Linked DNA regions of Kluyveromyces lactis. The protein of the gene in region 1 purifies or fractionates together with the protein of each later gene. This does not show direct contact. Links are inferred from orthologs where the notes say so. Each region holds a gene or a part of one and is shown on either strand. Other genes may lie near its edges.

The links.
Region 2: the proteins of KLLA0_F17006g (region 1) and KLLA0_C01650g purify together in Saccharomyces cerevisiae (affinity purification with mass spectrometry, with the first as the bait; 3 studies listed by BioGRID). This does not show direct contact. The link is inferred for Kluyveromyces lactis from reciprocal best matches to the Saccharomyces cerevisiae genes RIM11 and GIN4.

The regions. Positions count from the first base shown.
Region 1 is NC_006042.1:1,561,346-1,564,604, forward strand, and holds KLLA0_F17006g (serine/threonine protein kinase RIM11), read right to left. Parts: upstream 1,762-3,259; coding exon 514-1,761; downstream 1-513. Other genes in the region: KLLA0_F17028g (uncharacterized protein), read right to left, coding at 2,562-3,080. UniProt on the Saccharomyces cerevisiae protein: Serine/threonine protein kinase that is thought to function in regulating kinetochore activity and entry into meiosis. Could phosphorylate IME1.
Region 2 is NC_006039.1:126,886-130,932, reverse strand, and holds the start of KLLA0_C01650g (uncharacterized protein), read right to left. Parts: upstream 2,815-4,047; coding exon 1-2,814. Other genes in the region: SUMO family protein SMT3, read right to left, coding at 3,710-3,991. UniProt on the Saccharomyces cerevisiae protein: Serine/threonine-protein kinase which regulates the localization and the function of the septins during mitosis. Phosphorylates SHS1.

The DNA.
Region 1 (3,259 bases):
TCAATCGCACGCACGTCATGTGGCTCTTAATAGGTGAGTATTGATATTATTATGAACTGACAAGGTGAAATCCGGTATGAAAAAGGTAGGACGGAAGCTAGAAAGAAAAGTATTGCTATAAAAGGAAGAATTATGATGTCCAAGTGCCCTTTTCCTAGTGAGGAATAGGGAATGCTTAACATAAATAAAAAGAATCCACTGCCCAATATGAACACTATTAGGGACAGGATAGAACTATAGGTTTTCCGAAAGACATTGAAATGAACTTTAAAATTGAAGAGAAATATGATATGCAAAGGGGGGGAGCGTAGGATAGCATTGAACAACGGTGTTGCCTGCAACAAGTAGGCATATGAGAAGTAACTATTTGTATGCACATTAATTTCGTGTATTAATTTCATTTTCTTTGGATGTGCTGGGTAGAACGTTACATTAATGCATTTGTATTTGCATATTTCCTTCTCTCAACTAGTCTTTTTTTTTGTTTTTAGTTTTCCTTTTGTCTTGTCGGTTCTATATCAGTTTGCCAGTCAATCTATATATATCGTTAGATGACAACCCTTGTAATTCACTTTCCTCAAAATGTAGCAATGGTAAAGAATCGATCAACGAAAGGTTTGAGTCCGACCCGGTGTTGCTGACGATATCAGTGAAGTACGTCGAATTGAACATACATTGTAAAGCGCTGTATCTGATATTAGGATCATATTTCATGATATGGTATAATAAGTCTATAGTTTCCTGTGTTTCCTTCTTGAAGATCCTATTCAATGGGATCGGTCTGATCTGAGGGAACTTATGTTCGGAGTAGTTTTCATTCATGGAACAGATCTCTTCCCTGGTTGGTGTACCCAAAACTTTAATAATTTCAACCAATTGATCGATCTTAGATTCACCAGGGAAAATGGGTTGTCCTAATAGCAGTTCAGCCATAACACAACCTGCAGACCAAATATCAATCTTTGTTGTGTAATTGGTAGCACCAAAGATCAACTCTGGGGCTCTGTAGTAACGGGAGCAAATATATGACACATTGGGCTCGTTTGGTTTCAACTGTTTAGCAGACCCCAAATCACAGATTTTCAACAGTAAAGTATCTGGATCCACCAAAATATTCTGTGGTTTGATGTCTCTATGGCAGACATTGACCACTTGATGCAAATAGTTTAAAGATTTGAACAATTGGAACATGTAAATCTTGATTTCGTAACGATCCATTGGTTGATGCAAGGAAATGAACTCTTTGAGCCGTTGATAAAGAGACATGGGCATGTAATCTACAATCAAATTTAGATAAAGTTCTTGGTCCGATTGTTCAAGGAAATAGTACTTCAAATCGATCAAATTCGGATGACTGATCAATTTCATGATCTCCAGTTCTCTATTCTTAAACCGTCTATCCTGTAGAACCTTCTTAATGACAACATCCTCCCCAGTCTCTTTCACTTTTGTTCTGAAAACGACACCAAACGAACCATTTCCCACAATTTCAGGTGTGCCGCATGAAATAACAACTGACTCCTCGGGGTTGGAATGGCCTTTCACCACAGTCCTTCGGGTTATTACTTCGTCTTCATCTGGAACGATTTTAACATCATTACCATGACTGTTCTTACTATGAAGACTGCCTTGTTTTAAATCATCACTGGGTAAAATGGAATCCATCTCTGTCTCAAAACCAGCGTTTTTATCGTTAGTATATGCAATAATAGATCTTGAACCACCGGCACCGCTACTTTCGAGCAATTCACCAACTTTCATTCAAAAAAAAAAAGGAGTATTGTACTAAAACTATGCTGACATGCACACTTTTCTCTGAATCCTTTCTCTCTCACAACAGATAAGAAGTGATTGATCTGTCTGTGTGTGTTAATTGTTATATGCGAAGTCTTGTTCTTGGTGTTCTTTTTTTTTTACCTTAAATTTCACCAAATTTTCCAAAAACTTCAAACACGCAACGTCTTCTAAGACCAGTAAAATAAAATATTCAGCACACGCACTCACAAACACACGCGCACACCGATTCAAAATATTATGCGGGGGGGAGAGAATCAGGTTAAAAACAACAGTTTTATCGTCTTTCTTGTCTGGCTCAATGAAAAATTTTCCAATGTCCTCATGTCTTTCTCAAAGTTTTATTCAGACAATAAATACTAAGCGGAAAGAGTAAACTAAAACTGCTTGCAAATTGCTTTGTTAGTCCAGACATTTATTGTATCGAATCAGCTTACTGGAAAATTGAAGGAGAGAGAAATCGAAATAGTTTTTTTTTTTTTGCCTGAAAGCATGACTGGGTTGAGAGCCTTCCCTTGTATATGCGTAGAAAGCAAGAAAAGTGTTTTGTCTGACAGAATAATCTAGGAACTGACTAGCCAGACTACTGAACAGTTTGCCCCTTCGTAGTATTACTTAATAGGAAGAAGATTGCTTGTTCAAATAGTATAGTTTTTCCTGGAACCGGATGCCAGGGAAAAGTGGAAGTTCGTGAGTACTTCTCCGTTAGTCCGATCACATCCAGGAAACCAAGCAGGGAAGCCACTCAGGGGCCACCTAGGCAGGGATCAAGGACAAATGGAGCAAAGGGTGCCGATAGGGAAAGGGGGTCGGAAAAAAAGTTCCAAATTGAAAATTGTATACATACTTGTTACCCGACGTGATGGGGCGGCGTTATTGCCGGTAATTTGTTTGTGGGGCGGAACGGTAGACGAAGCTTTGGATGTCACGTGTTTAGCATTTTTGTCAGAGGAAGCCGTTGTTGTCGATGAAGACGACGGTGATGAAATGTCAGACGCAACGATGGATTCCATCGCTACATCATGTACCAATTTCAGTTCGTCTTCCAAACTGAGCTGTTTCACAACGAGCTCGACATCGAGCTCTTCTGTGTATCTGTCATGACAAGGTAGTGCACCGGCAGCTTTATCCTTGCTCTTGCTCTTGGCCTTGCCGTTCTGTCCAGTTTTCTTGTCGACAACAACTGGTACTTCGGCTACCACTTGTGGACCAGACTTGCGTCTGGTCCACGTGATGCCCTCAGGATTGTATGTTGGATGAATCTTATCTCTAATCTTTTTGAACATCTTTCGTCTGTATTGCTGGTGGTTACGACTGGTCGGGGTATGGCTTTTCTCGTTCTTGGTGAAGTCATCTAAACGATGGAGTTTATCAACCTCTGGTGTTATATACGCGTGAATTATTTACACAAATTTTTCATCACTACTGTAAATTCATTTATCAGACACAAATGTCGTGCAAGTAA
Region 2 (4,047 bases), on another chromosome or scaffold:
TTCATCAATGAGCATTGTTTTGTGGGGCTTTTGTGTCTGATCGTTTGGCTGGTAAATGCCAAGCCCTAATGCTCCATTCTCGTCGGCTACGTCATGAGATACCTGCAATGGAGGTAACGACGGCAAGTTAATATCCTTATCATTAGTACTTTGTTTTCTGGCATCAGTAGATTCCTTTCTGGCGGCAGAAGCTAGTTTTCCTTCCTCTGTTTCTGGTACTTCGAACAGCTTAGAATTTTCATCAAGCTCTTCAACGGTCTCAAACATGAATTCTGGTTCCTGTGCAACCTTGGATGATGAGTATTCAGGTTGGCCAGGTAGAGGTTCAAGATAATTATCGTTCTTCAAATGATCCACAAGGTTCGTGAATGAAGTCTTAGTTGAATACAGTGACAATACAGAAAATCTTTTGTTAGAGGAAGAGAAATGTTTTGACCTCCTTGTAAATTGTGGAACTTTGACTTCTGAGAGCTTTCTGGGTTCAACTTCGTCATCTCTGAGAGTTGCAACTGCTTTAGCATTCTTGGGTAACTTTTGAACCTCGTACTTTGCAGTCTGTTCAGAGTACTTTCTCAATTGTTCTTGTCTCTCTTTAGATACTAAATCCTTTTGGGCTTTCTCTAATTCAACGTTCAAGTTAAATTGCGATCCAAGGAATTTGGAGCGTCTAATGGTTTCCAGAATAGTCTTTTCCTTTGACGCTTGGTCATCTTCTAGGTTAGCTGACAGTCTACTTTCAGCAGCTATGATACCAGGGTCAAGTCTGGAAACTGGTCTCGTTTGTAGAGAGAAGTTTCTTGTATTGATTAGTTCATTGATGTCATTCTTTATACCGAATGTACTATCTCTTTTGTTTGCAGTTCTATCGGTCTCTATCGGAGCAGAGACAGATCTTCCATTGGCTGTGTTTCTTTCATCCGAGCTCCCCTGAACAGCTTCATATTCCGCCTTGAGCTTAGCAATTTCGTCTTCCATTTGGTCTTGCAATTCCTTCTGTCTTTCAGCTCGCTTTCGTTCTTCTCTTTCAAGTCTTTCTTGCTCCTCCCGCTCGATCCTTTCCCGTTCCTTTCTTTCAGCTTCCTCCTTCTCACGAGCTTCGTTGACTTTTCTTTCCAACTCTTCCTTCTCTTTCCGTATTTGTTCGTATTTCTCATGCTCGAAAATCTGATCCATCAATGTAGCAAAGTCCTGACTTGTCCTTTTCGTTTCCTTTTCGATGTATTCCCATTCACTGTCTTCGGAAAGTTTTGCATACGTTGCAATCAGTTTCGTTGTTATAGATCCACGCTTCATATTAGGCAGTAGAGAGAATCTTTTGGATTGTCTCTTTGATTGTCTTTTGTAGTCACGAAGCATTTCTTTAGGGACGGGTGGAGCTGCACTATCGTTTATCCTGGAAACTCTTTTATGAGCAGCAGGGGTTGGAGAAGACGAATTGGAGACTAGCTGTGAAATTCTCTTGTTTGAAGGGAAAGTCTTACTCAAACGTTTACCTATTGAGCCGTTTTTCACTGGTGAGCTATGTTGGCTACTCAGTTTTTGCATTGATACAGGTCTTTTGTGAGAAGATGAGGCAACTATGATTGATGTTCTTTTCTTCTTTGGAGTGGTGACTGGGGAATCAGATTTATTAGGAGATGGTAAAGATCCAACGTACATCAGCGAATTCGAAGAGACAGATTGTTTCTTTTGTAATTCTTGTTGCTTCAATTGATCTTGGTAATTATCGTGTTTAAATCTATGCAGTAAAGCGTAAAAAGTCTTTTCTAAATTAGCACCAGGTTCCATCAACTTCGTAATAATGTCTTCCTTATTTCTACCATGCCATAGAACAACCAAATTCTGCAAAATAGTTTCATCTACGCATTGATTTCCTCCTTCTAATGATAGTGGATTCAAATAGGTATCTTCTCGAGGTAAGTTTCTAATGGATTTAGAGTCCTTAATGCTTGGGTATTTTCTTAGAAGTGGATGCTTTAGGATCTCTCTTGTCTTGATTCTTTGTTCTGGATCTACTGTTAAGATTCTGGCGATTAAATCTTGGGCTTCCGATGATATTTCATCATCTCCAGGCATTTCAAATTTCCCACTTTGAACCTTTAACAAGAGATTTCTGATATTGCCATCTTCTTCATCAAATGGCAACCTACCGGTCAGTAAAGCGTAAAGAATAACACCACATGACCAAACATCGGATTCAAAACCGTGATATGGCAAGCCCGAGACAATTTCGGGTGCCGCGTAATGAGGCGAACCACAACTAGTTTCCAGTAATTTATCTTTTGATTCTAGTGCTGCCATACCGAAATCGGCTAGTTTGACATTGAATTTATGGTCTAATAAAAGATTTTCAGGCTTCAAATCACGATGAACTATACCTAACGCATGGCAGTAAGAAATACCGATAATTATCTGTCTGAAAAATCTGACTGCCTCATTCTCAGGTAATGGGCCCCTTTCCACCAACAAGTTGAATAACTCACCTTTTTCAACGTACTCTAAAACCATATATAAATCTTTTGAAGTTTCCCAAACATCGTATAATCTCAAGACATTAGGATGATTCAACAACTTCATAATGATAATTTCACGTTCAATACCATAGGGTAAGACATCAGGATCGTTACCACCAATCATTGTCGACCCTTGAGCGTTGAATATTGATTTTGATATAATTTTCACAGCGGCTTGTTGTCCTTTAGTTTCATTATAGGCCATTACGACTTTACCTGTTGAGCCAACACCCAGTGTCGAGCCCAACTTCCACGGGCCAATTGTGTCACCCTTTAACGTCGTTATTCCGTTACCGTTCATTTCTGATATATTGTGATAGTATTGGCCAAGCTACAAGTTATAATGTTCCCCAGTCGCGTAAAGGTTTGAATGATAATTTCTTATGAGAATGAATGTGGTGTAATATATCGTTTTTATCAGAGTGAGATTCGCTTGCCTAGATAAATAACTCTCTATGTCTGATATCTGGTACCGTCTAGTGAATTCAATTGGTCGTGGTTGAAGATGGTTGAAGTGAATTGAAATTATTTTTTTCACGATAACTTTTATGGTTTAATCTACTTCCAGTTTTATGTGATGAGCCTTGTCTCAATTTCTCAGTATTTCCCTCAGGTACAATTTTCACCAAAGAAAAACACAATTAAACTTCACGTCTTGGTATATATGTATGCCAAATAACAATGGAAGAAAAAACCTACCAAATTCAAAACGAGTGTGGCAGAAAACTATTAACAAGACAGCTAATATTTCTTCCACTTCTGGTAAATTATTCTTTCTAAAATCATTTACTGTAACAGTTATACTAATTGAAAAGAATGTTCACCATACTAGGAAGGAAAATGACTTGAAAAAAAAAAGACCTAAAAACGCGAAACTTGAAGCAAACCTAGCTTTTCGAATCGAAATAGGAATACAAGGGTGGTAATTTGCAGGAGGTCTGTTATAAGCCCTGCCATTTGATACCCAATCTCTTTTTTCTTTCCATTCGGATTTCATTTCTAATTCCATACCGACTGTTTTCCCTGGGGAAATGCAGATAAGCTTGCGGGCACTTTTCTTGTTGTTCATCCAAAGTAGTTTTAATATTCCAGATACATAGTCAGTTATTATAACATTAGATAGGTTACATTGAAAGATAAAAAAGGATGGGAATGCTGTAGTTGATCCCACTTACTGCTGCAAAGTACACTCCCAATTACAAACTACCACCAATTTGCTCTCTGTGAGCTTCAATGATATCGTTATCTTCCATGTCCAAATCTTCAGGGGTCTGATCTGGTAACACACGCACACCGTCGTAAAGGAATCTTAGGGATTCAATCTCTTTACCTTGTCTCTTAGCAAATGCCTCCATTAATCTTTTTAATGGAGTGGTCTTTTTGATCTTGAAGAAGATCTCACTGGATCCATCCGAAACCTTCAAGTTAATATGTGTTTCTGGCTTAACATCCACCTTTTGTTCTTGTTCTTCTGACATTTCAAACTGTGGTTATATATATAGGCGTTGAAGAATGGAGAAACAGGATTCAATGA